Saccharomyces cerevisiae S288C: one gene and its partners. The gene in region 1 interacts genetically with each later gene. Each region holds a gene or a part of one and is shown on either strand. Other genes may lie near its edges.

Region 1 (7,768 bases):
ACCCATTCGAAAAATTTAAATGTTCAGACACTGTCAAGTTAAAGAATATAACCTGGAGGTTTTCTTTTCTTTTTGTCCATCAAAATGCACTTTTTTTGAAAAAAAATGCCTTGTCAAGATAATGTGAAGTTTACTGGAAGGGCCCTTTCCTCATCGGGTTGCCGGCCCTGACTGACCTTTTTTGTATTTTTGGCCGTCCCGGCGCGGCGAAGAGTGAGACGACACCAAATAGCCGTACGGCAATAATCCTCGTGCAAAAATCTCTAAGACCGGTGTCGCATTATCCTTTACACACCAAATTTGGTGCCGTAATGCATTATGCATACACTGTGCAATTATGCAGACATGAAATGTGATTGTTTGCTTTGTATACGTAGTAATTGTAAGTAAGTGATTTACTGATTTACTTTCTGGTTAGCAGTGGTAGTTTTAATGCGTTGGCCGGATTGTTTATATTTTGTGAAGCAATCCTGGAAATTTTAAGCATCAAAGAAGGTGCGGTGCCACCATAAGACTTCAAAAATAGTTGGAAGTTTTACTATCCTACATAAATGGTTTACTTAAACAAGGATGCCGAACCACTTGGATCTTGGTAAATAATTGTCCCTCAATTCTTGCCACTGGACAATGAATTCATCCACTACCCAATATAATATTTTTCCGGTCAGACTAGGAGTATTAATCCTTGCCAGCGATTCTACATAAACTATATGGGAGGAACCCAACAGGGGCAAAAGAAGTTCCATAATTTTCAACCAAAAGGATATTATACAGCATGTTCCAGGCCCATTCAATAAAAACAGATGAGGGGAACCACACATAGCAAATCTGATTCTAACCACGTGCACAAAAGATTGTACCAACGTTCCAATGATGGTCTTTACACTTTGTAGGAGAGTCGCTTTAACTTCCCTAGCTTTCATGAATTCATAGTATTTTACTTTGCAATGACCAAATTTTTTTATAAAGTGGGCGAATCTTTGCCTGGAAGCCTCATCAGAATAACCCAAGTACACAATCGACTTACCCAGTAAAAGATCCTGGTAATTTTCTAGAAGACGGATCATTTCACCAGTATGACCTCCCGATCCTAAGAATACAAAAATCTTGAGCGGTTTCTTTGACGATTTTCGTATTTTCAGTAGGTTAACTCCATCTTTCGTATCCTTTTCTGTACCTGCTTGAGTGTGGAAAAAAGGCAGAATCGCTATCAACCTAATAACATATGCTGTCGATACGATGAGCACCAATGACGCCAAGTAGGCCGTTTTCATGATCTTCAAGTCACTTCTTTCGACTTTCCTGATACAATAATAAACCGCCGATTACAGTTATTGCGGGCCCTTGTACATGAAATATTAGGATGGCTTCGCTAAGAACATTTTTGCTTCTGGACAGACAGAACACGTAAAAAAAGAAACACGAAATTACGACTAACTTTCGCGTAGGGGTAAAATTACCTAATGCGCGTAATTAAAAAAAAAAGCACAGCAGTGTAAATTGGAGCAATAGGAGAAAATGACCTGTAAAGGAAGTATTCGAATTCACTAGTGCGGATATTAATAGAATTCATAATTTCGCGCTTGGCTGCTCATTATATTCTTGACTATTTGCCAAACTGTTATAAAGAAGCCTCAATATTCGTTTGGTTTATTGTTAAAGAAGGCGCAAGCTCGGCACGAGAAATATACGACGATAAAGAACATACCAACTATATATTGTGACGGCACAAAAAGACAAAATACGTAAAATGCTAAGACGCTCTAAAAATTCCAGCACTAACACAAACGCAGACACCAAGAAAAGACAATCCATGCATTTAGGATCCAAAAGTTCGCTAATCTCGCTGACTAGCGAATTTGGCCATGGACACTCCAAGACGAAGCAGAAAAAGGAGGAGGGCACAGCTCCTTCTCAATTCCTGTCTCCTACGAATAAGAGAAGCACATCTAGTCAGTCAAAGTTAAAAAGGAGCAGCTTGTTACTGGACGAAACACTGCTTAAAGACTACCACTCGGCCATGAGGCACATGCAAACAAACGCTGCAAAGGAAGAAAAGCTGCGGATGGCTCCATCACCAACGCAGTCAACGAGGAGCGAATCAGACGCCAGTCTTTCCTCCACCAAGAGCTCGATCTCTTCCATATTTTCCCAAGATAATGACTATTCCATTCACGATTTGTTGTACGAAGATATTGAAGAGATGGATAAAACAGACGCTTTCAAAATTAACAACACAATAGCAATCGATGATTCTAAAGCTCTCTTTGTCTTCTGTTCAAACGACTCCTCCTCAAGGACAGCGTCTATCGAAACATTGCACGAATCAAATTTGGACAACCTGGATATGGGTTCCAGTAGAAGGACATCGTTGGACTTTTTTTAATATAACCTACCATAGGACACACTTTGTTGTTGATGTTGGACAATTCGTTAATTAAGAGTCCCTAAACGGCTCTACTAGTTCCAACCTCACTTTGTTTTTTCATTTTTTTATGTTTTTTCTAGAACCTTCTTTACGTGATTCTCGCTCGGAATCCGTCAATAGAATGTTTTCAGTCTCCGTTTCAATATTCTGCGCACATCAATCATTTTCTTACTACATACACTAACATTACTCCTAGTTTAATTTAATTGAATTTTTAACTTTCTTTTCTTTTCATTTGGCAATTTGGCTCCTTGAAAACAAGACTATGGGTCTCTCTCATAAGCCTCAGGGGGGGACCCCAAAAAAATAACGCGGCCATCTTGCATGCACCGTTGAACCTGTAGCTTACAGTAAGCCACAATTCTCTTACCTTCTTGGCAATGTGGCACAAAATAATCTGGTTATGTGTCTTCATTTGGTAATCACTGGGATGTTACTGGGGCAGCAGCAACTCCGTGTGTACCCCTAACTCCGTGTGTACCCCTAAAGAACCTTGCCTGTCAAGGTGCATTGTTGGATCGGAATAGTAACCGTCTTTACATGAACATCCACAACCAACGAAAGTGCTTTTTCAAGCATTGCTTGATTTCTAGAAAGATCGATGGTTATTCCCTCCCCCTTATGCGTCCAAAAATATAGGGTGCTCGTAACAGTAAGGTATTCGCACTTAGCGTGCTCGCAACACAAAATTAAGTAATATGCGAGTTTTAGATGTCCTTGCGGATCTATGCACGTTCTTGAGTGGTATTTCATAACAACGGTTCTTTTTCACCCTTATTCCTAAACATATAAATAGGACCTCCATTAGTTAGAGATCTGTTTTTAATCCATTCACCTTTCATTCTACTCTCTTATACTAATAAAACCACCGATAAAGATATATCAGATCTCTATTAAAACAGGTATCCAAAAAAGCAAACAAACAAACTAAACAAATTAACATGTCATTTAACAGTCCATTTTTTGATTTCTTTGACAACATCAACAACGAAGTTGATGCCTTTAACAGATTGCTGGGTGAAGGCGGCTTAAGAGGCTACGCACCAAGACGTCAGTTAGCAAACACACCCGCAAAGGATTCTACTGGCAAGGAAGTTGCTAGACCAAATAACTATGCTGGCGCTCTTTATGATCCCAGAGATGAAACCTTAGATGATTGGTTCGACAATGACTTGTCCCTGTTCCCATCTGGTTTCGGTTTCCCTAGAAGTGTCGCAGTTCCAGTTGATATTTTGGACCATGACAACAACTACGAGTTGAAAGTCGTGGTTCCTGGTGTCAAAAGCAAGAAGGACATTGATATTGAGTACCATCAAAACAAGAACCAAATTTTGGTTTCTGGTGAAATTCCATCTACCTTGAATGAAGAGAGTAAAGACAAGGTCAAGGTCAAGGAGAGCAGCTCTGGTAAGTTCAAGAGAGTCATCACTTTGCCAGACTACCCAGGTGTGGATGCAGACAACATTAAAGCAGACTACGCAAATGGTGTTTTGACATTAACAGTTCCAAAATTGAAGCCTCAGAAGGATGGTAAGAACCACGTCAAGAAGATTGAGGTTTCTTCTCAAGAATCGTGGGGTAACTAAAGTGACCTGGCTCTATAGTGTTGTCCCTCTCGCGAGGACCATTGTTGCTTGCATATGGGCTTGAAACATATGGTCATCACATCTGAGCGATTTTACCTCTTAGAATTAGTTTAGATATATATGAGTTGATGAATAAATAGTTATAAAAACTTGCTTTGGCTTCGATATATGACCGTTATTTTTGACTAAGTTTTAACGAAGGAATCTAACCTCGTTCTTGTAATTACCAAAATCTTCAACAACGCGCTGTTGGAGGTATCTCTATGGATGTGGCTTGAAATATGGATGTCTTGCCTACTTCTACTTCTGGGAAAGGCATTTTTACTCGATCGCGTTAATATATGCATCAAGAAAATAAAAAATAAAACGCGAAGAGCTAAAAAAAAAAAAGAAAACCTACTATAAATAACCGATTAGAATCGAGTTTTTGTATTGAAATGGCGGTAATAAGCGTTAAACCTCGACGAAGAGAGAAGATCCTACAGGAGGTAAAAAACAGCTCGGTATATCAAACGGTATTTGATTCCGGTACTACTCAAATGCAGATACCGAAATATGAGAACAAGCCATTCAAGCCTCCAAGAAGGGTTGGATCAAATAAGTACACACAACTCAAACCAACCGCCACTGCAGTCACAACAGCCCCTATATCTAAAGCCAAAGTTACTGTCAACTTGAAAAGAAGCATTTCGGCGGGACCTACTTTAAATCTTGCCAAGAAGCCGAATAATCTGTCCTCAAATGAAAACACTAGATATTTTACTATCATGTACAGGAAGCCTACTACCAAAAAGCACAAGACTTGGAGTGGTGATGGCTACGCTACCTTAAAAGCCAGTAGCGATAAGTTATGCTTTTATAACGAAGCAGGGAAATTTCTTGGGTCAAGTATGCTACCAAGTGATTCAGATTCTCTCTTCGAAACTCTTTTCAAAGCAGGCTCCAATGAAGTACAATTGGATTACGAATTGAAGGAAAATGCAGAAATACGTAGCGCCAAAGAAGCCTTATCACAAAACATGGGAAATCCCAGCCCACCGACCACAAGCACAACAGAAACAGTGCCTTCTACGAAGAATGACGGTGGCAAATACCAAATGCCTCTGTCTCAGCTGTTTTCACTAAACACTGTGAAAAGATTCAAATCAGTAACAAAGCAAACAAATGAACACATGACCACAGTACCTAAAACCAGTCAAAATTCCAAAGCCAAAAAATATTATCCAGTATTTGATGTCAACAAAATCGATAATCCTATAGTAATGAACAAAAATGCAGCCGCTGAAGTTGACGTAATTGTTGATCCATTACTGGGCAAATTCTTGCGCCCTCATCAGAGGGAAGGGGTGAAGTTCATGTATGATTGCTTAATGGGCTTGGCAAGACCAACTATTGAAAATCCGGATATCGATTGTACTACTAAAAGTTTAGTGTTAGAAAATGACTCAGATATTAGTGGATGCCTTTTGGCTGATGATATGGGTTTAGGTAAAACACTAATGAGTATAACTTTGATTTGGACATTAATTAGGCAAACTCCTTTTGCATCAAAAGTTTCATGTTCGCAATCAGGCATACCATTAACTGGACTTTGTAAGAAGATTTTAGTCGTTTGTCCCGTTACTTTAATAGGAAATTGGAAAAGAGAATTTGGAAAATGGTTAAATTTGTCAAGAATAGGTGTTTTGACATTAAGCTCAAGGAATTCTCCTGATATGGATAAAATGGCTGTCAGAAATTTTTTAAAAGTGCAACGAACTTATCAAGTCTTGATTATTGGCTACGAAAAACTCTTGAGTGTTTCTGAAGAATTAGAGAAAAATAAACATTTGATTGACATGCTGGTGTGTGACGAAGGCCATCGACTAAAAAACGGGGCTTCTAAAATTTTAAATACGCTGAAGAGTTTAGACATAAGAAGGAAGCTTTTGCTTACGGGAACTCCTATACAAAATGATCTTAATGAGTTTTTCACTATTATAGATTTCATAAACCCAGGAATCCTTGGAAGCTTCGCTTCTTTCAAAAGAAGATTCATTATCCCTATAACTAGAGCCAGAGACACTGCAAACAGATACAACGAAGAATTGTTGGAAAAGGGGGAAGAAAGGTCAAAAGAGATGATAGAAATTACGAAAAGATTTATTTTGAGACGAACAAATGCGATTTTAGAAAAGTACCTTCCTCCAAAGACGGATATAATTTTATTCTGTAAACCATACAGCCAACAGATATTGGCATTCAAAGATATTTTGCAGGGCGCACGTTTAGATTTTGGACAATTGACGTTCAGTTCTTCGCTAGGACTAATAACATTACTGAAAAAGGTTTGTAACTCTCCTGGATTGGTTGGCTCAGATCCCTATTACAAATCACATATAAAGGATACCCAATCTCAGGACAGCTATAGTCGTTCTTTGAACTCTGGTAAGTTAAAGGTATTAATGACATTACTAGAAGGTATTAGGAAGGGTACCAAGGAGAAGGTCGTCGTAGTGTCTAACTACACTCAAACATTGGATATAATTGAAAATTTGATGAATATGGCTGGGATGTCACATTGCAGACTCGACGGTTCCATACCTGCTAAACAAAGGGACTCTATCGTCACATCTTTCAATCGGAATCCAGCCATATTTGGATTCTTGTTGAGTGCAAAATCGGGAGGTGTAGGATTGAATCTAGTCGGTGCTTCGCGACTTATTTTATTTGATAATGATTGGAATCCTTCAGTAGATTTGCAAGCGATGTCACGAATTCATAGAGATGGTCAAAAAAAGCCGTGCTTCATATATAGACTTGTCACAACTGGGTGTATCGATGAGAAAATATTGCAAAGGCAATTAATGAAGAACAGTTTGAGCCAAAAATTTCTAGGTGACTCGGAGATGAGAAATAAAGAATCTTCTAATGATGATCTTTTCAATAAAGAGGACTTGAAGGACCTGTTTTCTGTCCATACAGATACCAAGAGTAACACACATGACTTAATTTGTTCTTGCGATGGTTTAGGTGAGGAAATTGAATATCCTGAAACAAATCAACAGCAGAACACCGTAGAGCTGAGAAAGCGTAGCACTACGACATGGACAAGTGCGCTGGATTTACAAAAGAAAATGAATGAAGCAGCCACCAACGATGATGCCAAAAAGTCACAATACATTAGGCAATGTCTCGTTCATTATAAGCATATCGATCCAGCAAGACAAGATGAATTATTTGATGAGGTTATCACAGATTCGTTCACCGAATTGAAAGATAGTATTACCTTTGCGTTTGTAAAGCCCGGCGAGATATGTCTCAGAGAACAATGACGCCAAATATGGACACTTATATACTAAATAAAATAGCTATTATTTAATCACTGATTGTATTTAATAGGTTTATTCTTGCACGACTCATTCAGGTTCAAGTCACATATTAAGTAGGGCCTATTGCTGATTCAAGTTGATATCCACGTTTTCACTAATTTGATAACGATACGCTGCGGGCGCAAATCAAACATCTGAAAGATTTGAATAGCCTTTAGTCCCAAAAAAAAAAAAAAAAAAATAATGTGAAAAATTATCTACAAGGAAATAAATTGATAGGTAAAGTTAAAGAATCACGGCATGAAATTAAAAAGTGTATTCAGATCAGTTCTAAAGTACCGGAAAACAAATTTGAGTTTGCTTCTATTAATCACCTATTCGATTATTACGTTACTCTATATCTTTGATCATGAACGTTATAAACTCAATCTACCAAAAGAGGA
Region 2 (8,303 bases), on another chromosome or scaffold:
ATAAAACGGATACCATTTCTTGGAAATTATACGCTTCGAAGTATTCTCAAAAAAGGAAATTGTCTGCAGTGAAGATTGGATATAAGGTTCACTAAACACAGAGTAGTAATTGAGCTGTAATTTGTTTACAGAACGAATCAAATCAGCGTAGTGTTACAGTTTATCTGAGACTGCATATCTTTAATCTCTATGAGCGAGAAAAAAGAAGAAGTTAAAAACGCCACCGTTAAGGTGACTGTCAAACTTCCAAAAGAAGATAACCATTCGCATAATACGAAACATCTCAAAAAGACCCAAAGTTCAAAAAATAATGATATATCTTTTGAAATCGGCAAGGAATCCAAAATTCAAACTGTTCTAGATGTGTTGGCTATGATTCCAAGTTCCAAGTACCTGACAAACGTTGGGCTGAAAACAATTGAAGGTGACTCCCAGCTATCTGATGAAATGTCTATAAAGGAAATTGTTGGTGAGAAAAGCGAGTTAAAACTTCAATTGATACTGAAGCCATATAGCGCAAGAGAGGCTTTGAAACATGTGATTACTGTTCGCGATTTCATCGGATTTGCCCAAGAAACCTCAGATGGATTATCTGAATTTGCTATTTCTACTGGTTCAAGCTTTTCCTCGTTACCGTTGGGTCCTATCAAGGAACGCTCAAAACAAGAAGAAAAAGACGAGAAGAGCGATCCAGAAGAAAAGAAAAATACTTTCAAAGATGTGACTGACGAGGAAAAACTAAAATTTAACGAGATGGTTCACGAAGTGTTTTCTAGCTTTAAGAATTCTTCAATTAACAAACTTCTCACCTCTGAATCCAACATCATCACGCCGTGCGTCAGGTCTTTGAGTTTCGCACCTTACAATCCTGTACCTCCATTTTATAGAAGTAAAGGTCATCTATTTTACCTACAAATTGTCACTTTGGAAGGTGAGAGTTTCTATATCACTGCAATTCCATCTGGATTCTATGTCAATAAATCAAACTCAACTAAGTTCGATCCTTCTCCAAAAGAAAACACTGACGAGAACGCGCACTCATCCCTGATCTATTACAGTCTATTTGACTTGATTGCTTCTCGCTCTAAAAAATTCATTTCTCATGTCCAAGCATTCGAGAAAAAACTATCTGCTTTAGATTCTACAAGCTATGTAAGACCAAGCAATACTTTCTTGCATAAACCATGGTTTGTTTCTTCATTGCCACCAAATAACCCAGATTATCTGAGGTTACAAACTGCCGCCTTGGATACCACGCCAGAAAGAAACTTTAATGATGAATTTCAAGCCATTAAAGATTTGACTACGTCAACATTACAAGATCGTATTGAAATGGAAAGGTTGTTTTCTAAAGTTGTACATGAATTTTCTGTTACTGCAGCATCAGGCGCTATGTCAATTTTTTACAGTGATTTCGTTGCAATGAACCCAGAATCTCCAACTCGGGATCAAATTTTCTTAAAAGACAATATCTTTTATTCCTATGTTTCCGACGTTAGTGGCAATTATGAAGGGAAAGGTGGGGATGAAGCTGCAATCGCTGCTTCCAACCAAGACTTGAAGACAATCAATATTTTGAATCGCTTGCATATGCACGAAGTTCGTTATCTTTTAACAACTGTAGTCGAATTTGCAGGCAGAAGAATTTTGGCTCAAACTCCAGTACCTGGACTCTTAGCTACCATGGGTAACAAAATTGTAAAAGATGCTAATACCGGCGAAGAGGTTACCGAAGATTTTGTCAATGATATTAATGTAAAGTACGGCCTTGATGAAGGTTTGGGAAAGATTGTTTATGATGCTGACTTTGATTCTGTTTTAGAAAAAAAGTTTGTCAAGGCATTCCATTTGAAAAAGCACAAAGTCAACGGTACTGAATTAGCATTTTCATCGCAATCCAAGGGAATAGTTGGATTCGATAAGAGGCGCTATATTTTGGATTTAGCCAACACGTATCCCTTGGACATCAACTTTGCTAGACAAAACTTTGACAACATCGAAGAGACTGGAAACCGTTACCCACACAGGCAAACTTTGTTACGTCCGGAGTTAGTAGAAAAGTGGTGGAATAATAAAGTTGAGAAGGAAGGTGTTGAATTTGAAAAGGCCTATGAAGAAAATTTGTTTAGTTATAACCCTGATGCTTACCAGGTCGAAGGTATTGAGGACGCTAATGTTGACGAAATGTCGAACTACTTACAAAAAGAAGTTATTCCCAGCGTTATTCAAGATTATTTATCTGGAAATTTGAGCACTCCTTATAATGGTGAACATTTAGCCGATACTTTACATAAGAATGGTATCAACATGCGTTACTTGGGTAAAATTATCGAGCTTTCTCAAAAGGAATTGGACTCCCAAATTGTCCACTACGAACAAAATTTGAAAGCTGTTGAACAAGACAACAAAGAATATGAGGATTGGGAAAAATCTTATCTGCAAAAAATTGAGAACATGATTAAAGAGAGACAAGCCAAGATTAATAAGCTGGTACAAGAAGGCAAAGAGGTTCCAAAAGAACTAACTGAAGATTTGAAATTAAACGATGAAGAAATCAAAAAGCCCACCGATGGAAAACCTGTGGTCGTTGCCTATGATGAGCTAGTGCCATTAATTAAAATTTCCGAATTAGAAATTGTTTCGCGTTCTTTGAAACATGTTTTAAAAGATTTGAGTAAAGATGTTCCGGTCTTCTTGGTTCCATCACTGGTAGCATACGTTTTCAATATGTTAGTTGGTATCAACTACAATGCTGATCCGAAGCCAGAACCAGTCGACGAATTTTATCCAGTCAATAAGTGCTCATTTGCTAAATTAACACGCTCCGAATTGCTGGAAGCTGTCTCTAAACAAGCCTTCTTGCGTTTCCGTCATCAATTACCATCCAATTGGATCGAAGCTTACATGGAAAATCCTTTCACCCTCATTAGAAGTGTTTCTTACAAATTTGGTATTCAATTGCTCAATAAAGAATACTTCTTTACTAGAGAACAATTGGAAAGTTATAAGCAAAGTCTTGACAAGAAAATTAGGAACAAGTTTGTCGAACCACCAACTACCTTCAGTTTAAGCGATTTGACCATTATTCCACGTGTTAAGTTCTCAGAATATACTTCTTCAGTTAGTGAGGAATTTTGGGCTCAAGGTGCTTCTATGATCAACGAAGACAAACAAAGTGCTTTGACTTTACTCGCTCAATCAATTACAGTCTTAGAAGATGTTAACAATATTTTACATCCCGCCGTTGCTGAAAAGTACTTGTCATTATCTGCCATTTATAATAAGTTAGCATTATACCCTGAAGCTATCGCGTTCTGTCGTAAAGCATGTACTATTTATGAAAGAGTTAGCGGTATTGATTCTTTTGAAATGATGAGGGCTTTAACTAATTTAGCAATTCTAGAATTCTCTAATGAAAGTCCTTATAACGCTACTGTGGTTTATAATAGGCTCGCAGAAATCCTAAAAGTTTATGAGTTACCAAAAATCCATCACCCAGCCCCCACAAGCATTTTCAACCATTTGGAACAATTAGCCCTAGGTGTTCAAGATACCAAATTGGCTATTGAAGTCTTGGGACAACTAAGCTCCTATGTTGTGGAATTAGAAGGCAAAGATTCATTAGCATATGGCTATACCGAGTCACGTTTAGGTAATTTGTTTGCAGCATTGAAGGATTTCCACCGTGCATTAGAGCACATCACTGTAACCCAAGGGATTTTCACCAAGCAATTGGGTATGAATCACACGCACTCAGCCCAATCAAGACAGTGGGTTAATGGTTTAAGCTCATTAATAATGGATTTAAAACAAAAGAAGCAACTTGCACAAGATCAAATGTCGACAACGGGATCAAATTCAGCTGGCCATAAAAAAACCAATCACCGTCAAAAGAAGGATGACGTTAAACCTGAATTGGCTAACAAAAGTGTGGATGAGTTGTTAACATTTATAGAAGGCGATTCTTCCAACTCTAAGAGCAAAAACAAAACCAACAATAAAAAGAAGCATGGTAAGAAATAGAGAGCTAACTTAACAATCTCGTTTATTTATTATTTTTCTTTATATCTATAGCCCATACTTGTATATACTACGTGTAAGTACTAGATATAAAACGAAAAAAAAATACTTACAATTATTTTTTTTTCTTTACTGCTCTATTCTTTTCTTTATTCTATTCATAAATGCAAACAATTAGTTATGTAATTTTAAAAGTTGAAAATAATTGACTTTGTCAAAGAGTAATTAATTTTTCACAAATCATCATAAATGCAGGTATCAAAATATTGTCATTAAGCACACTATTACCTTCTAGCACTCCACTCAGTGTACAAAGGGTAAGCAATTGTAAAGTAGTTAGGTGGTTAAAAATTGCAGCTTTATCAAAACGTAACAATACCAAACAAACGATAAAACTCGTTACTATAAACGCAAGAGTTCCCTCTAAAGTTTTTTGTGTACCTTTCCAACGAATGCGGCCATACCTTTTACCAATAATAGATGCTAAGGAATCACCAATTCCCAATCCTATTAGACCCATTGGAGAGTTATTCATTAATAAAGGTGTTGATATTCCGAAGAGTAAATAAAGGTATGATATGATCAATGGCCCGCTGTGGTCCCTATCATCAGCAAACCTTCTTAGTTGTAATTCAATAGCAGATCCTAACGGCGGTAGGTTTTGAAATCTTATGTACTCAATTGATAAGAAGACTGGTATTGTTCCGGACAATGCAATTTTCACAAAGTTTGAATCCATTTGGAATGACGGTATTATGAGTAAGAAAATGATGAAATGCCACAATTTTCGGGAGGTGTTCAACGATAGACTGTCCTTCTCGATCAATATACTTGGTATGGACAGTATAAGAATTGAAGACCAAGCAAACAAAATCTTTTGACGAATAGTAGACTCTAAGATATATTTTACCAGCCAAAGTAGCGGATTTTCACCGTCTTCTAAATGAATGAAGGTATTGGCAAAAAGTGGAAGCCCGATGGCAAAGGATATTGACAGCATAAACGGTTTAAAGTGCATTACCTTTTTGAGCACATAGTTAATTGAAATTATTGTTGTGAGAGCAAGGATAATGCCCTTCAAAATTCTAAAATGTACTGTGCCAGCCTCTGAAACGTACAGAATATTGGTTAATAGGATACTAAAAAGATTAGAGTCGATATTATCTAAACTTTTCAATTGCCCAATATACTTCAAAATTAACGACAGTAAAGAATTTATTACTATGCTAATAATATTCTTTAACCTGTCACCAGCCTCAAAATTAAAAAATATGAGGCAGAGCTGTAAAATGATCACTACCAACTGAGTTCGCCATCTATATGAATTTAATACCGAAAGGATCAAAATAGTATTTATCACCGTAGATGATGTATCGAACAACAACGAAACCATAAACGGTAAATATAAACTGTAAATGGTATCGAACTTGGGTAGGCTTTTGTAACCATGTTGCCAATATTTTGTGAATATCAGACCAACCATTATCAAACACACCACAAAGACATTTACAAAGATTTGTTTATAAGATATATCAGCGGTAACAATGGACCACGGCTGAAGCCTTTCAACACAGTAAAAAAAAGTGCCCAACAATATAACAGTTTGAACAAAATTCGAATAAAAGCACTCAAAATCTCGAGAATTCCCGCCCACATCAAATTTACGAGTCCTCATATTGATTTTGCAGATCTCCTCAGTTGGCATTTGGCTTCCCTCAGTTTTCTGGGTTAGTTTAATTGTGGTAAAGGAAGCATGAGGTATTATAGCGACCATATAGGCAATGAACAGAATAACGACAGTTTATTGCCTCGAAAGGAGTCTGATTTACTAGCTAAATTCTAATATTTGGCTTACTACAAACTCTATCTTTCATAGAATACGTCCTTCGATACCATTTTCACCATCTTGACTAACAACGTGTACAACTCTTTTGAAAATTACGTGCCTGAAAACCCAACCATTGCGGACAGCCCTCAATAACGTATCTTAGCATTACCCGCACACCCATACATCTAGAACTTTTTTCATTTCTGAAAATTTTTTTTTCTTCTAGGATTACTTCGGGTATAAATAAGAGACGCAGAAATGGTTATTGGCAATTAATGCTTCCTCTCTTTAATAAGTTACAATATTAGAATCCTATGATTTCCATCACAAAGATCAATACAAAAGAAATATTCAGATGAGTGGGAGCTATGAAAGGCTGAGAGAGAAATTGAATCCATAAAACGTTTTTTTCCGTGTTCTTTTTTTCTTCTTTATCAAAGTTAGTTTTTCAGATATGTCTTTTGTCATTATCACAGGCTAATTATTCCCTTGATGACCAAAATAAATTTTTACAAACTAGAGTTTCTGAATCTTTTGTGATTAGAACGTTTATTCTTATTTCTGAGGTTTTTAATTAGCAATAAAGAAGAAAAAACTGAAAGGAAAAGTCTAAATAGAAATACAGTAGTATTTCTTCAATTTCTCTGCTCTCCTTTCATTTACCACACCCATTTCAATTTTCTTTTTATTCCATATTTATTCAAAGGTGTTTGTTCATATGATGATTATAACAAAAACAAAAGCTGGAATTACTGGCTGAACGAGTATATGTTGATACGTTTTTGCACTATCCTGACCTAGCAAACACCTTTAAAATAAATACTAGAAAGTTGACACATTTCCATAAATTGGAAGAATACATTTAAGCTTAGAAAACAGTAGTTTTTTAGTGCTATTCTTCCGTAGATTGATGTTTTCGATCTATTTGATACAATGGAAATGAGGATCCACAGCACTGGGCACTGAGGGGGAAACAAATATCCTTTCAAATGAGTGACAATGCTTTAGCGGGCCTAGAAAACCCGCGCAACTGATCCATTGTAAGTTTTTCTGAGGGCTAACAGAATTTTCTATAGGGAAGAATGGATTTTTTTCTCATTTTCGTATAATTATGTGAATTGGTTTTTATGATGAGATATTTATAGATGACGAGTCTGATCATTCGTGAAGACACAACTATTAAAATTACCATTCATGCCTTTCTGAAGCTGTTTACATTATTCTTTTCGATTAGCAAAGAATTTGGAAATAGAAAAAAATCGACAGATAACTAGTTCATCAGTTGATGTGTCTGTATTGCTTCCATGTTTTTTAAAGAAAATTTCTACCTTAGAGACGTCAATGCTGCAGAAGATGAAACAAATTACTCAAATAGACAAGCATATGTCTGATCTTCATGATTGAAAAGAGCAATTAGTGTCTGATGCAATTTAAACTAGAAAATTTATCTGAGAGAGATGAGAGATCGTACAAACTGTTTCAAGGTTTTTAACTTTTCTCCAATTTCAAAAATTGTTTATGATGATTTCCACATTTCACGACGGTCAACTGCGTTTTTCGAATGTTTATCGATTAACTTTGATGATATTTCGCCTGTGACAGGGCGTGGTACTGAGCTTTAATATTTTTAGCAAATTTAGAAATTGGGTCAAGCGAACCATTGTAATGCTGACTATTTGGACGACTCTAATCTCTTCAATATATTTGAGTTCAAATATATTAACTTGAGTAAATTTTCTCTTGCGTTAATTATAACTAATTGTGATGTGATGACAACTTCTTGAGCTATATATTTTCTTGAGAACATCAATGAAGAAAACGTCTCATCAAATGATTTGCACGTCAGTCTGATCACAAGCCATATAAAATTCTTTAAGTATTTTATCCATTCTACCTTTTTCATCTGTTAGTGATCGATTAAAGCAACACCCAGACATTACATGGCCCATATGGCAAAAATTTTCATCTCATCTACCTCATCACTGTGTGCATTTAGTGTATGAATGACTACTTTAAGCAATTTAACCAGTATATACGTATAAAGAGGTCAAGTGTACGGATAACCCAAAGGAAACATGCCTTCCGAATCATCCGTCTCTATCTACAAGCTTGATCAGTTGGAGTATCAGTACCATTATTTGACAAAATCATTACAGAAGTTTGAACCAAGATATCCAAAAACTGCCAAATTATACAATTGTATAGGTAAAAAGAACAAAAAGAAAATTGAAAAACTGTTAAACTCTTTAGAGTTGAAAACTTTGGACAAAGAACTAGATGAAAGTTACTCAAAGTTACTCAATAATAAGATTCACTATTACGAGACGCATTTATCAAAATGTATAAAAGAACAAATTCAGAAAATATCCAAAAAAAATTCTAGTAAAGTGAAGGATGCTCAAAAAAATAAATCACCCTCTATAGATATTGAAAAGATGCTTGCTACGCAGTTGTC
Region 3 (8,404 bases), 330 kb from region 1:
TTGCCCTTTGTCTCGGGTACACGCTTGTACACATATGTAGCAAACATGGCAGCGATGGCGGCGAAGATCGCAAATACGTAGCCGCCCATGAGGCCGTGGCCTATCGGGAAGAGGTATCCGACGATGAAGGTGGCAAGCCAGTTGCACACAGTACCAAAACTTTGAGCTGTAGCGGCATCCTGCGGGTAGGATAGCTCACCAATGATCAAGAAGGGGATGGGTCCCAGACCGATGGCGAATGCGGCAATATAGACAAAAGTGGCCGTGACCAGTAAAAAGGATACGCTCAAGGTGAGACCTACACTGATCAGCAGCGACATGGCGGTCATCACCGTAGTCGAGGCAAGCAATAATGGACGGCGCCCGACGTGGTCGATGATCGCAGATGCTGCTAGAGTGACAACGACATTGAGGATGGAAATGGCAAAATTTACCTGAATCGAGTAGTCCGGTAGAATCTTGCCGATCACTTTTACACCGTAGAAGATAATAGAGTTGATGCCGCAAAATTGCTGGCACGACAAGATGGCGAGTATAACTGTGCGCGGTTTCTTGTATGAGGGATCGGTAACATATTGCCATAGTGTGGGTCCTGAATGAGTCTCTTCGCTTGACTCCGGGTCGCGGTTGTGCCCATGGCTACGCTGCCAATCCTGAATTTCTTGCTTCGCTTGTTGGTACGTTCCTGGACGCAACTTGAACAGAGCAGTTTCAGCTTCCGAGACGAATCCGTGGCTCACCAGCCACCTTGGAGATTCGTCCACTTTGAGCCAAGCTAAAATATTCGCTACCGCAATCACGGATCCGGAAAAGAGAAGCCACCTCCAGTTATAGGAGTCTGCGTACTTGAGTGCCAAGGTTTGGGTCAGCAGGATACCTAGATTGATAGAAACCTGATTCATAGATCCCATAGCGCCTCTCCACTCCACGGGGGCAATCTCGTTGATAAATAAGGGTGTGATCACAATGGCGGTGCCGCAGGACATGCCTACCAGGAACCTGCCAAATAGCAACTGCAAGTAGGAGTTGGAAAAGAAAAGCAGCAGAGAAGAAACCATGCACATGGCCGAGGCGCCCATGCTCACGTACTTTCTTCCGTATCGGTTGGCCCAGTTACCGGCGTAGTACGACCCAAACAGTCCGCCTATGCTGAATATAGACGTAATTGCGCCGTATTGAGAATCGGTTAACGCAATGCATTGCTTGAGTCCGTGTTGCCCAACCCAAGTGTCATCGTATGAGATGTTTTCGTCTGGTGCCTCAAATCTGGAGCACGATAAGAATTCTTGAGGCGCATTCAACTCTGCGATGTGGTATCCGTACTGGATCGACCCCAAACAAGCAACTATCGTGCCCAAGATTAAATGGCCCGTAATTAACGGTTTTGTTTCGCGGGAACCACCGTTAGGCATTAGTCTTTCAGTTTCAGCCATGACTTAGTTTGTTATGCCTTAGTCTCTGTGTTTTGTTGTTGTTCCAAGAGAGAAAGATATTCAGCAACTTTTGTTCTCCTGTTATTCCCTTAATCAGGAAGCAACTTTAAGGGAAATCCATTTCATCCCTCACACTTCCCATCTTTTCTCGGACAACCTTACATTACGCCTACGACGTATGACTACACAAGCAAGTTCGTTTTACAGACCGCGTATCATTGCTCGTTACAGCTCTACCAAAAGTGTACCGAGCACTGTGCCCAGAAGCTAAGCTTTTTTCGCTAACATATATATATATTTAGGTAAATCATTTACACTTTTCGTCGATCTAAAAGCTCATCGCATTTTTTCGGTCCTGATGTTAAAAATTTATTTCGTTTATTAAAAAAAAAAAAAACATTACTGAAACGTATAAAAGAAAAGTCTTAATCTATAAATATGGTTTTATCATAATTAGACTGTTTTACTCTGTCCATTGGTCATTATAAAGCCTGAAAATACCCACTGAATGGTTTTTTTCGCAGGAGCAAACCTTTTCCATTTCTAATAAACCTTCTGCACTATTTTTATTCTCATAAAAAACAATTGTCAAAGAAAGCCTACATAAAAAAAATATGACAGCAACGATCACAAATAAGAAATCATGCTCTGGTTCTGTTGAGGCAGGAAAGACACGTTTAACAACTGAATGGAAGCCTGAAAGCCAAGTACCCCAATATGTTAAAAATGAGCTCTCTAAACCCCATCCAAACTATATCCTGGCGTTTTTGAACGTGGTACAGCAATTAAAAATTCAGAGAAGAACCGGTTATCTTGACCTCGGTATTAAAGAATGTGAAAGCATATCAGATCACATGTACAGATTGAGCATAATCACCATGCTGATCAAGGATTCGCGGGTTAACCGCGATAAATGTGTCCGGATCGCATTGGTGCACGATATCGCCGAATCTTTAGTTGGCGATATTACTCCAGTTGACCCTATTGGGAAGGAAGAAAAGCATCGTCGGGAATGGGAAACCATAAAATATCTATGTAATGCTCTGATCAAGCCATACAATGAGATCGCGGCAAAGGAAATTATGGACGATTGGTTGGCTTATGAAAATGTCACCTCATTGGAAGCTAGATACGTGAAAGATATCGATAAATATGAAATGCTTGTACAATGTTTTGAGTACGAGAGGGAATACAAAGGAACGAAAAACTTCGATGATTTCTTTGGGGCTGTAGCTAGCATAAAAACAGACGAAGTAAAGGGCTGGACAAGTGACCTTGTCGTGCAGCGCCAAAAATACTTCGCCGATTTGACTCAATCGATAACTAAATAATTATCATAAATACCAACTTTTGCGTCATAAAAGTACAAAGTAACTACCAATACATAATCTTCAACGTACTGTCCATAGGTTGTCGTGGCCAAAGATGATAGCGCCTATAGCGTGTCTTCCAAGTAAAGCCAAAATTCCAATGCAGAATTGCAACTTCAAGATTGTATTGCACAATTTGTCTTCCCTCATAGGGCCAAACCATACTAATGTCAAGTTTATTAACGTCATATTAGAGGTGCTAATAATCTCATTATTTTCATCAAATTCCAGGTCAATCAAATGGAGACAGTATAGTAACTTCAAGATCGGTTTAAAAATGCTCTTTGGCGGTTCTTCTTTTAAGTTTGCTCTTGATGGATACATTAAACCGTCTTTTTCATTAAATTTAGGTAACCTATGTCTCGGGCAGGGGACCAATTTGAATAGCTGAGGACATGAATAAATAAAATTAACGATTTGAGGAATGAATAGCAAAAGCATCGTCTTTGAAAAATGACCCAGTATACCAACGACTGCGAATACCATTCCAGCGAAATAACAATATGTATCTCCCACAAACACTGTGGCGGGCCAACGATTCCATTTCCATAGCGCCAAGGATACACCCAAAAATGGGATAATCAAAACAGCGGAAAACCTATGGGAGTCTCTTGTGGCTAATGGCCCCATCGAGAAGTACAGCAAATCGTTCAATAGCGCTAAGATGGCCAACACTATACATTGGCCAACCTCTAAACCATTAACACCTGCCAGGATGTTGATGGAGTTGGGGCAAAAAATTGCCATCGATGCCATATAAACATAATACCACAGCCCCAAATCAACACTAGTCTTTTTCAACCAGCGTTCCATGAATCCGGGAATAAGTACATGCGTAACTCCAAAATCCACATAATAAACCATTAGCAGTGGGATGGCTGCAATGGCAGGCAAGAAAAACTTATGTCTCCAACGTAAATCAAATAAATCATCAGCGATACCCAAGAGGACCGTACTTTCCAAGCATAGGATAGCGCTCAAATATTCAGATAGTTTATCATGAGGAAAAATATTAGAATTCATACCGTTATCTTCAACCACTGAGACATCGCGATGGCCCCCACCTGAAGTGGTTATGACCATATACTTGTAGAAAATGAAGGGAATGTAAATGAACATTACAAATAAATAAACTGCAGCAGGGATAGCACCTATTGTTTCTGGAAGCACCGGACGGCCAGGTTTACTCAAGTCCTTACCGAATAGGCCTATTTTGATGAAGGATTTGCCCACACGTGGAATCAACATATCTGTAGCTAAATAGCCTGCTATACCAAATCCCACGGCCGCAACAAGAGCAGATGGGCCCTGATTTTTGGAATAGTAGATTAAGCATGTGATAAGTGCCAGTGAAAAAAGTCGCAACATATAGTCTACTTTTTGTTACCGTTCTCCGCCTTGCTCTACTTGATAAAGTTTTTATTTACATATTTCACAGTTATATACACATGTTAACAATTTAATTTTCGCGCTGTTTAGTAAAGCATTTTTCGAGATTGAGGCAATATAAAAGGAAAGGGCCATATACAGGAGATGAAGGAAACCTGTACTATTATTGTATTAAACACATGGTAGTAGCTAGAAAAAATTCATGCATCAACCTCTGTGTTTGTATTCGTAACATATAAATCCACAAGAAATTTTTTACTCATCATCCGCTAAAAAAAGGAAAATACGGACGTTACTTACTAAATGTACGACGAACATGTACACAAATCTTGACTATTTTTGATAGATGCAGTCTCTTGAAATGACCAACGACTCAGTAGTGTTTTCCAAGCAATTTTACTTTCAACTGTTTAATATTTTTTAGAGGCTACTCGGCCGGCCATATCTAGACAATTAGTAATTCCGATGACAAAGAGTTTAAAACCACAATATCTGCCACACATATCGTGAAAGGCATTAGTTCCATTGTCTCCGTATTAGTGCAAAGCCCCTAAGCCAGCCTGCTTTAAAAAATGTGCAGGTACTTTTGTTATTGTTTTGATATATAAAGAACTACTATTTGCTAATATGTGATGTAGCGCAGAGAACTTGCATTTCCCTGCATGGCTGACCTTGACAAGAATACAATTAGCAACAAAAAGTAATAATTCAAAATGACCACATCTTTTTATGATTTAGAATGCAAGGACAAGAAAGGCGAATCTTTTAAGTTTGACCAACTGAAAGGCAAAGTAGTTCTCATAGTTAATGTTGCCTCCAAGTGCGGCTTCACGCCGCAGTATAAAGAATTGGAAGAACTATACAAAAAATATCAAGATAAGGGGTTTGTTATTTTGGGGTTCCCATGTAATCAGTTCGGGAAGCAGGAACCGGGCTCTGATGAACAAATTACGGAATTTTGCCAGTTGAATTATGGCGTTACATTCCCAATTATGAAGAAGATTGATGTTAACGGAAGTAATGCTGACTCTGTCTATAATTATTTGAAAAGCCAAAAAGCAGGTTTACTAGGTTTCAAGGGTATCAAATGGAATTTTGAAAAGTTCTTAGTTGATTCCAATGGTAAGGTTGTCCAAAGATTTTCCTCCTTAACAAAACCATCGTCCTTGGACCAAGAAATCCAAAGCCTGTTAAGTAAATGATATCTTTGTCTATAATCAAGCAATTATCCGGAACAATAAATAATACATTTATAGATTAGTATGATTATATATTTTTCTTCAGAAGCATGGTGTAGGATATATTAAAAAAAATCGAAATATAAAAAAAGAAGGTTTAATGAGTGGTTTCGTTTTCCGGAATTTTCTCTGCTACCAACTGTTCAGTTCCAACATTCGACGTATCCTCAATCTTCGCTTTTTTGCTCTCTACTCCATCAACGTTCTCCTTCTCATTAGCGGTCTGATCTGCAAATTCTTCCCTTATCCTTTTACCATTTTCATCTTCTTTCTTCATTCTATCTTTAGTGGCGTCATCCAATACAATCCCTGCGTTAAATTCCTTTTCCAAGCATTGCAGTAATGTATTTCCTCTTCTGGCTAGCTCTACAGGTGTCCTGCTTCTGAAGTAAAAGTCTAATTCGAATAGGGGACAATCTCTAATTTCATCACGCACTAATTCGTATACGTCATCTCTATCCAAGCCATACTTGAATAACATGAGAAGGATAAAACGATCTTCTTCTTCAGAGTACGTCCTTTTGTTGTTAGAAGAAGGAGGATGTTTTAATTTCAAATCGAAGAATGGATTCTTATACTCAGACAACTTCCGACGTAAAGCCTCTTGTTGCATTTTGACACGCTTGATCTTCTCTTCTTCATTCTCAATTATTTTCAGATATTTCTCATAATCTTCAATTCTTTCAATGTTAGACCAGAAGGCCTTAGCATATGCGCGAACTTCCTCTAGTGTTTTGCCAGGGGCCAATTCTCTCGCAATGGCTTGAATGGAGTTCCTACCGTATTTACCAGATACCGTGATGAATTTTCTAAATTCTAATTTATTCCAATTTGTAAATCCTTCAGACTCCCAATCAGCCTTCATCTTTTCTTCCTCTTCAGTTAATGGTTGCGAGTTGTTAACCGACAATTTTAACAATTCCAATTTTTGTTTCTTTTCTTCTTCATCTGAAATATCGCCATATGCTGCTTTTACGTCATCCATGGTCGGTACATAACCAGTCTTCTTCGCCGTCCACATTCTTTCCTTTTCGTACAGGACTTTCAATTGGGGAGGTTGTAATTGATGGGAATGGAAGACATGAGGCTTAGGCATTCTGGGGTGTGATGGGGTCGAGGACCTTCCTGTATTCAAAACATCTTTATAATAATTATCAATAGAGTAATTTTCCTTACGTTCACGTTTGGTGGGGTTGAGCAGTAGCGGACTTATAATATCCCTTTGTATTTTCTTCTTGAAATCTTGACCATTCCATTCATAGGCCGAATCTTGGTTGAATTTTTGCAAATCATCAAGACCTAAAGTTTCATATTTTGCATTTAATGACTTAGTTTTGTTTTCTGATTTCAGTAAAAGTTCGTCCAGATCAATATCATCTCCTTTTTCTCCTGAACCAGGTTCCGGCGTACCAGCTGAACCGGTAGATGTACCACTTTTGAATACATCGGCGGCACCATGTTGAATCATGGATAATAAAGCATCTTTGGAATCTGCTTTATTTTCCTTCTTTTTCAAAGAAGTCCTGTTTTGCTGGATAACTAATTGATCTAATCTTAACTTCTGGGTAGCCCTTTCTAAAATTTTCTCTTCCACGGAGTTATCTGTGACCAAACGGAATACCTTGACCTGCTTCTTCTGACCAATACGATGCGCTCTATCCATTGCTTGTAAATCTGCTTGTGGGTTCCAATCTGAATCATACAAGACAACGACATCTGCTGACGTTAAATTGATACCTAACCCACCTGCACGTGTCGTTAATAAGAAAACAAACTTCTTAGAATCAGGAGCATTATAATCATCAATGGCTTGAATTCTATCTTCGTGAGCGGTGGAACCGTCGATCCTGCAATATTCATAGTTTCTGAAGTAGCAATAATCCTCGAGAATATCCAATAATCTTGACATTTGACTGAAAATCAGAACTCTAGAACCTTCTTCCTTCAATTTCTTCAATAACTTATCCAAAACTTGAAGTTTGGCAGCGTTATAAACCAAGTGCTCATCCGTAGTGTACGGTGGACCTGGCTCAGCACCATCGAATAAATATGGATGATTACAACATTTTCTAAGTTGCATCATGATATTTAAAAGTCTTGTTTTGGATTCCTTGCTGCCATTAGACCCGTTCACAGCGTCCAGATCCTTTTCCAAAATCTTTTTGTACCATTTCTTCTGCATGCTAGACATACCGACATATAAATTCAGTTCCTTTTTAGGCAGTAAGGATGTTTCCACATCGCTTTTGATACGACGTAGTAGAAAAGGCTGTAAAACAGTGTGGAGTTGCTTGACAATTTTATCCTGATCTTCCTCTGTGCTTTCAGAAGAAAACCAATCGTCGAAATCTTGTGCATCGGAAAAGATATCTGGTAACAAAAAATTTAATAACGCCCATAGTTCATGCAAATTGTTTTGCAAAGGAGTACCAGTAATCAACAGCCTATTACGTGAGGTAAATTCCCTTAAGACTTGCGAAAGCATTGACTCTTCATTCTTGATTCTGTGAGCCTCATCAATGATAATATACTCCCAGTTAATCTTCTTAAGGGGCGACTTTTCTCTTATAATAATTTCATAAGAAGCAATCACAACATCAAAGTCACAACCTAAAAGTTTTTTTTGGATCAGTTCAGCTCTTTCTTCTTTATCTCCTTGCAAAATAAAGGCGTTTACGTCTGGCGTCCATCTATTTATTTCTCTCAGCCAATTATTTAAGGTAGACTTAGGCGCAATGACTAAAAATGGACCTGGAATTTTTTCAATGTACCTAAGATATCCCAGAAATGAAATAGTTTGCAGGGTCTTACCTAAACCCATTTCATCAGCAAGGATACCCGCTATTTTGTTCTTATGCAGAGACACCAACCAGTTGACACCTTGGATTTGATAAGGTCTCAATTGACCATTAACGTAAGCAGGTGATTCTCTGAATTGGAATTCAATGCTCTCATCATCATCCGAGTCTTCTTC
Region 4 (7,724 bases), on another chromosome or scaffold:
CACACCTCCGTCAACTCATACTGAAGATTCGAAACGTGTTTCTAAAACCAATATTCGCGCACCCAGAGAAGTTGACCCCAACATATCTGAATCTAATATTCTTCCATCAAAGAAGAGATCTAGCACCCCCCAAATTTCCAATATCGAGAGTACCGGTTCGGGTGGTATGCATAAATTAAATGTTCCTTTACTTGCTCCCATGTCCCAATCTAACACACATGAGTCGTCGCACGCCAGTAAATCTAAAGATTTCAGACACTCAGACTCGTACAGTGAAAATGAGACTAATCATACAAACGTACCAATATCCAGTACGGGTGGTACCAACAACAAAACTGTTCCGCAGATAAGTGACCAAGAGACTGAGAAAAGGATTATACACCGTTCACCTTCAATCGATGCTTCTCCACCGGAAAATAATTCATCGCACAATATTGTTCCTATCAAAACGCCAACTACTGTTTCTGAACAGAATACCGAGGAATCTATCATCGCTGATCTCCCACTCCCTGATCTACCTCCAGAATCTCCTACCGAATTCCCTGACCCATTTAAAGAACTCCCACCGATAAATTCTCATCAAACTAATTCCAGTTTGGGTGGTATTGGTGACTCTAATGCCTATACTACTATCAACAGTAAGAAAAGATCATTAGAAGATAATGAAACTGAAATTAAGGTATCACGAGACACATGGAATACTAAGAATATGCGTAGTTTAGAACCTCCGAGATCGAAGAAACGAATTCACCTGATTGCAGCTGTAAAAGCAGTAAAATCAATCAAACCAATACGGACAACCTTACGATACGATGAGGCAATCACCTATAATAAAGATATTAAAGAAAAAGAAAAATATATCGAGGCATACCACAAAGAAGTCAATCAACTGTTGAAGATGAAAACTTGGGACACTGACGAATATTATGACAGAAAAGAAATAGACCCTAAAAGAGTAATAAACTCAATGTTTATCTTCAACAAGAAACGTGACGGTACTCATAAAGCTAGATTTGTTGCAAGAGGTGATATTCAGCATCCTGACACTTACGACTCAGGCATGCAATCCAATACCGTACATCACTATGCATTAATGACATCCCTGTCACTTGCATTAGACAATAACTACTATATTACACAATTAGACATATCTTCGGCATATTTGTATGCAGACATCAAAGAAGAATTATACATAAGACCTCCACCACATTTAGGAATGAATGATAAGTTGATACGTTTGAAGAAATCACTTTATGGATTGAAACAAAGTGGAGCGAACTGGTACGAAACTATCAAATCATACCTGATAAAACAGTGTGGTATGGAAGAAGTTCGTGGATGGTCATGCGTATTTAAGAATAGTCAAGTAACAATATGTTTATTTGTTGACGACATGATTTTATTCAGCAAAGACTTAAATGCAAATAAGAAAATCATAACAACACTCAAGAAACAATACGATACAAAGATAATAAATCTGGGTGAAAGTGATAACGAAATTCAGTACGACATACTTGGCTTAGAAATCAAATATCAAAGAGGTAAATACATGAAATTAGGTATGGAAAACTCATTAACTGAGAAAATACCCAAATTAAACGTACCTTTGAATCCAAAAGGAAGAAAACTTAGCGCTCCAGGTCAACCAGGTCTTTATATAGACCAGGATGAACTAGAAATAGATGAAGATGAATACAAAGAGAAGGTACATGAAATGCAAAAGTTGATTGGTCTAGCTTCATATGTTGGATATAAATTTAGATTTGACTTACTATACTACATCAACACACTTGCTCAACATATACTATTCCCCTCTAGGCAAGTTTTAGACATGACATATGAGTTGATACAATTCATGTGGGACACTAGAGATAAACAACTGATATGGCACAAAAACAAACCTACCGAGCCAGATAATAAACTAGTCGCAATAAGTGATGCTTCGTATGGCAACCAACCGTATTATAAATCACAAATTGGCAACATATATTTACTTAATGGAAAGGTAATTGGAGGAAAGTCCACCAAGGCTTCATTAACATGTACTTCAACTACGGAAGCAGAAATACACGCGATAAGTGAATCTGTCCCATTATTAAATAATCTAAGTTACCTGATACAAGAACTTAACAAGAAACCAATTATTAAAGGCTTACTTACTGATAGTAGATCAACGATCAGTATAATTAAGTCTACAAATGAAGAGAAATTTAGAAACAGATTTTTTGGCACAAAGGCAATGAGACTTAGAGATGAAGTATCAGGTAATAATTTATACGTATACTACATCGAGACCAAGAAGAACATTGCTGATGTGATGACAAAACCTCTTCCGATAAAAACATTCAAACTATTAACAAACAAATGGATTCATTAGATCTATTACATTATGGGTGGTATGTTGGAATAAAAATCCACTATCGTCTATCAACTAATAGTTATATTATCAATATATTATCATATACGGTGTTAAGATGATGACATAAGTTATGAGAAGCTGTCATCGATGTTAGAGGAAGCTGAAACGCAAGGATTGATAATGTAATAGGATCAATGAATATAAACATATAAAACGGAATGAGGAATAATCGTAATATTAGTATGTAGAAATATAGATTCCATTTTGAGGATTCCTATATCCTCGAGGAGAACTTCTAGTATATTCTGTATACCTAATATTATAGCCTTTATCAACAATGGAATCCCAACAATTATCTCAACATTCACCCATTTCTCACCTTCAGCTCAAATCCTCATCCCGGAACCTTTTTTCTTATTTGTTCCCTCTTCTACTACAAGAGCTTTCAAATTGTAGTCAAAAACCCGCTTTACTAAAAAAACATCGCCAAAAAAATTTCCAAAATCGCTCGTCTTGCCACTAAAAGTATGCAAAATATTATGTGAAGCAAAGTTATTTCGTGTCTTCCGCCTAACAGAACGTAAGCAGTTGACCATACTTTAGTATAGAGTACGAAAAAACACAAAGAATACCTTAATAAAATAAACATTGTCGTTCGCTAGGAAAACGGTAACGAAAACAAAAAACTAAAAGAAGAAAAGAGGCAGGACGCAGTAAAAGCAAGAAAACTGCTTTTTTTTCATGGCTGAAATGAAGAATTCGACAGCTGCTAGTTCCAGATGGACGAAGAGTCGTCTCTCCCATTTCTTTCCCTCGTACACTAATAGCAGTGGTATGGGGGCCGCCTCAACTGATCAATCTTCTACGCAGGGAGAAGAACTGCACCATAGGAAGCACTGTGAAGAAGACAATGATGGTCAAAAACCGAAAAAGTCTCCCGTATCCACCTCTACAATGCAAATAAAATCTAGACAGGATGAGGACGAGGATGACGGTCGAATTGTCATTAAACCAGTTAACGATGAAGATGATACATCAGTGATTATAACTTTCAATCAGTCAATATCCCCTTTTATTATTACATTGACATTCGTTGCGTCCATTTCTGGGTTCATGTTTGGTTATGATACTGGTTACATATCGAGTGCGCTAATTTCTATCAATAGAGATTTAGACAACAAAGTTTTAACTTATGGAGAAAAAGAATTAATTACGGCCGCCACATCATTGGGCGCTTTGATTACAAGTGTGGGCGCTGGTACTGCTGCTGATGTGTTTGGAAGAAGACCATGTTTAATGTTCTCCAATCTGATGTTTTTGATCGGAGCAATTTTACAAATTACCGCGCACAAGTTTTGGCAAATGGCGGCCGGTAGACTGATTATGGGTTTCGGTGTCGGTATTGGTTCTTTGATTTCTCCTCTTTTTATTAGTGAAATTGCTCCTAAGATGATCAGGGGTAGGTTAACCGTTATAAATTCCCTATGGCTGACAGGTGGTCAATTGATTGCTTACGGTTGTGGTGCGGGCCTGAACCACGTCAAAAACGGTTGGAGAATCTTAGTTGGTTTGTCCTTGATACCTACTGTTTTGCAGTTTTCTTTTTTCTGTTTTTTGCCGGATACACCAAGATACTACGTAATGAAAGGCGATTTAAAGAGAGCAAAAATGGTTCTCAAACGAAGTTACGTAAACACTGAAGATGAAATAATTGATCAAAAAGTTGAAGAATTATCTAGCTTAAATCAATCGATACCAGGAAAAAATCCAATAACAAAATTCTGGAATATGGTCAAGGAATTGCACACTGTGCCTTCAAATTTCAGAGCTTTGATTATTGGTTGTGGTCTACAAGCCATTCAACAATTCACAGGTTGGAATTCCTTAATGTATTTCTCCGGTACAATATTTGAAACTGTTGGATTCAAAAATTCTTCTGCCGTTTCTATTATTGTCTCAGGTACTAATTTTGTGTTCACATTAATAGCATTTTTCTGTATTGATAAAATCGGCCGTAGGTACATTTTACTGATTGGACTACCTGGTATGACTGTGGCGCTGGTTATATGTGCTATAGCGTTCCATTTCCTAGGTATTAAGTTTAACGGTGCTGATGCAGTAGTGGCATCTGATGGATTTTCATCTTGGGGCATTGTCATTATCGTATTTATTATTGTGTATGCAGCCTTTTATGCCCTCGGTATCGGCACTGTTCCATGGCAACAATCGGAATTATTTCCACAAAACGTCAGAGGTGTAGGGACATCCTACGCTACTGCCACCAATTGGGCAGGTTCTTTAGTCATTGCGTCTACGTTCTTGACTATGTTACAAAATATTACACCAACGGGTACATTTTCATTCTTTGCCGGTGTAGCATGTTTATCAACCATTTTTTGTTACTTTTGTTATCCAGAACTATCAGGATTGGAGTTAGAGGAAGTTCAAACAATTTTAAAGGACGGATTCAATATCAAAGCCTCTAAAGCTCTAGCTAAAAAGAGGAAACAACAGGTGGCCGAAGGTGCTGCCCATCATAAACTCAAATTCGAACCTACACAGGAAATTGTAGAAAGTTAGACTGCTACACCAACAAAAAATAAAAGATAAAGAACAAAAAAGAAGGAAGAAAGCTATAAAAGGGAGACAATTCATTTCATCTAATCTTAAAAGTTTTTATTTAAATATATAAGTAAGAGCGAAGTATTTAAAAATAAAAATTCATAAAAGTTGAGCTTGATGAAAGTTATATCTTTTCGAGCGGTATGTTTCTTTCGTGTAAAATTCTTCTTAAAGTATCTAACTTCTCCTCATCTTTCAAGTTTCCTTTAACTACAACTTTTTGGATCAATTCAACGGGAATACTGCTGCTTAAGTAAACATTATTGAGCGACCTGAACATTTTCAAAGTTTGAAAGAATAATGGAGAATGGCAGTCGATGAAAATATAGACGTTACTTGAAGAACGCATTCCACTAATAACTCCCTTCGCGTGCAACATCCCCGGCGATAAATGGACATGATTTCTACTCATTGGTGATATTGCTCCGGATTCAATAATCTTTATGACAGATTGAAGATTTGTTCCATGAATTAGTTCCTGTGGTAACTGCGACGCTTCAGTAATTGGTACGAGAACCTCATCTGATGGCTGAATCGATTTGATTGAATGTCCCTGAGTAGCACAGATCCATTCTTCGTCCGCTCCTAACGTTTTTATATGAAAGCGTTGTTTGTCATTTTCCTTAACAATGCGATGGATATCATCCACCGTACATTTATGAGTTTTCAATCTATTATGAGACAATAGTTCTTTCAGCGGTGTATAACCGTTTGAGTCAATAGTCAACTTTTCTTTCACCGCTGTATGTCGAAGCAGATATGATAAAGCTTTGGAAAGCTGTACATCCCTTTTATCTTTTTGTAGTACCTGGCGCATTGTCAAGTCCACCTTTCCCAGTCATTCTGCTCAATTCTGTAATAATGTATTATGCATTTTGCCATTATTTTGATGAGCTTTCCTCGCGTCACGGTGTCAGTAAAAAAGAACAAATACATCACGAAGACAGAAATACGGACAAGAACCGCAGAAGACATTAAAGTCAAAACATGAAGCTTAATTCAACTCGTGTAAGTATCTTTAAAGGAGATACACTTCCCATTCTTGAATTATTTTTTTATTTAATTTGCCTTATTTATTCAATTATTTATTATGTGAGCACCAGCTGAGTCTAAGACTTGAAATTAATTAATTCGGGCTGATTCAAACTTGAATGCATCAAAATATAAGATTGAATCAAAATGAAAAAATGGTAAAAAGCCGTACCAGAAATCAAGAGATGGAAAAGGTACTCGGAATGATTCCAACCTTCTTCCTTTTTATTTCGTCTGAACAATGATTCAGGGAACCTGGTAACGTAAATTATAGATGCCGCTACCAAAGCCACAAGTTCCCACGTAATTGCGTTCACTTTTATCCTCTCTTTCAGGTTTTCTAAACCATCAAAGGTGATTATTGCGGTTAATAGTGGCAAGGAACAACACACTACTGATACCGAAATGAAGAAAACTGTTTTATTGAATCTTTTCGAGGAAATGAGTTTGTCCGTCAATATAAAAAAGTATGCCACTAATCCTATGAAGTTCATTAAAAGGGTAAAAATTTTGAAGAAAAACACGTAATCATAGAATAGATAATAAAGAATTGTGATTTGTGATGATATCAATAAGTTGATATTCGATAAATACGAAAACTTCTGCCAATGTTCGAGATGTTGTTGTAGAGAAATATTTTTGACGAAGTGATAAATGAAATGCACCATACAAAATACAAAAACGTTCAATAAATAAAAATTGAATACAATGTAGTCTGTCATTGTAGTGGTGGTGGGGAACAAAGGTATCAAATAAAAGTCCGTGAAAAATATTAGGAGACAAAATGACAGCATCGAACCCAAGAGATATATTAGTGCTACTAGTGACTCGTTCCTACTGGATTTATTTTTGTACTGTTTCTGCAATTTTGCCAAGTCATGGAATGGAAAACCCTTCTTTGTTTCTTTTGTCTCTGCATTCTCGTTCGAATCTGTCCCCCTAGTATCATTGCTCTCTTTCTCAGTGGTTGTCTCGCATTTGACTGGGCTTTGCTCTATTGTAGTCAATGAAACCATACTGTCAATATATATGTACCTTTATACCAATATTATATGCGCTGACAAGAACTTTAAGAAATTAATTTCCTTTTCTACTTTTTTTCATTTTTATTTTACTTCTGCGTCCATATATCCGGACCATATATATGAGTGTAAATCATTTAGCTGTTGACACCATTGAGTATTTACAATTAAAACCAATTGAGCTCAACAGGCTTGCGTTGAATAATGTTGAGCTGCCCAACGAGCCCTTTTCTCGCGGAGTGCTGTCCGAATTGTCCGAGTTTTTATACGGACAGAACTATCGCTTCTTTGAAGTATATATAAGAATAGACCGGCTGTTCACCCCGTATCCTCCTTTTCTATCTCTTGGCTTGCTATGTTTCAATGTCAGCCTTTGCTTTTATGTGCCCTTGCATACACGTGAATATGTCTATTTTATGTAAACTATAACAGCTGGTACTGCCCGTACATATGCTTAAATTAAATAGCTATTGACGAAGGCCCATTTTCTCGTAGAATATCAGGGTAACATATGGAATAATCATTTTTCTCTGTCTATAAGTAGTAAGACTATTGCTTCTGATCCTTCTGTCAATCGCCTGTCTCCAGTTTTATTTCTTGTCACCTAGAGAAACATACGCTGGAGTTCCCTGTACTATCAAAAGTTGTTTCGGTCCCGCCATTTCCGACTAGCTCTATAGCTAATGGTT

The links.
Region 2: mutations in ALG14 (region 1) and SEC59 together harm fitness more than expected from each alone (negative genetic interaction), as found in Saccharomyces cerevisiae (2 studies listed by BioGRID).
Region 3: of ALG14 (region 1) and ALG7, extra expression of one rescues a mutant of the other (dosage rescue), as found in Saccharomyces cerevisiae (one study listed by BioGRID).
Region 4: mutations in ALG14 (region 1) and TPT1 together harm fitness more than expected from each alone (negative genetic interaction), as found in Saccharomyces cerevisiae (2 studies listed by BioGRID).

Annotation. Positions count from the first base shown.
Region 1 is NC_001134.8:378,661-386,428, forward strand, and holds ALG14 (N-acetylglucosaminyldiphosphodolichol N-acetylglucosaminyltransferase anchoring subunit ALG14), read right to left. Parts: upstream 1,275-7,768; coding exon 561-1,274; downstream 1-560. Other genes in the region: YBR071W (uncharacterized protein), read left to right, coding at 1,751-2,386; chaperone protein HSP26, read left to right, coding at 3,370-4,014; YBR072C-A (uncharacterized protein), read right to left, coding at 4,200-4,361; DNA-dependent ATPase RDH54, read left to right, coding at 4,452-7,328; PFF1 (Pff1p), read left to right, coding at 7,626-7,768. UniProt on the Saccharomyces cerevisiae protein: Involved in protein N-glycosylation. Essential for the second step of the dolichol-linked oligosaccharide pathway. Anchors the catalytic subunit ALG13 to the ER.
Region 2 is NC_001145.3:290,945-299,247, forward strand, and holds SEC59 (dolichol kinase), read right to left. Parts: upstream 5,795-8,303; coding exon 4,235-5,794; downstream 1-4,234. Other genes in the region: translation initiation factor 3 subunit CLU1, read left to right, coding at 190-4,023; BUD22 (Bud22p), read left to right, coding at 7,924-8,303. UniProt on the Saccharomyces cerevisiae protein: Catalyzes CTP-mediated phosphorylation of dolichol, the terminal step in de novo dolichyl monophosphate (Dol-P) biosynthesis. Dol-P is a lipid carrier essential for the synthesis of N-linked and O-linked oligosaccharides and for GPI anchors.
Region 3 is NC_001134.8:702,623-711,026, forward strand, and holds ALG7 (UDP-N-acetylglucosamine--dolichyl-phosphate N-acetylglucosaminephosphotransferase), read right to left. Parts: upstream 4,172-8,404; coding exon 2,825-4,171; downstream 1-2,824. Other genes in the region: VVS1 (Vvs1p), read right to left, coding at 1-1,433; YBR242W (5'-deoxynucleotidase), read left to right, coding at 2,048-2,764; glutathione peroxidase GPX2, read left to right, coding at 4,906-5,394; chromatin-remodeling ATPase ISW1, read right to left, coding at 5,528-8,404. UniProt on the Saccharomyces cerevisiae protein: UDP-N-acetylglucosamine--dolichyl-phosphate N-acetylglucosaminephosphotransferase that operates in the biosynthetic pathway of dolichol-linked oligosaccharides, the glycan precursors employed in protein asparagine (N)-glycosylation.
Region 4 is NC_001147.6:120,892-128,615, forward strand, and holds TPT1 (tRNA 2'-phosphotransferase), read right to left. Parts: upstream 5,799-7,724; coding exon 5,106-5,798; downstream 1-5,105. Other genes in the region: myo-inositol transporter ITR2, read left to right, coding at 3,110-4,939; IZH4 (Izh4p), read right to left, coding at 6,091-7,029. UniProt on the Saccharomyces cerevisiae protein: Catalyzes the last step of tRNA splicing, the transfer of the splice junction 2'-phosphate from ligated tRNA to NAD to produce ADP-ribose 1''-2'' cyclic phosphate.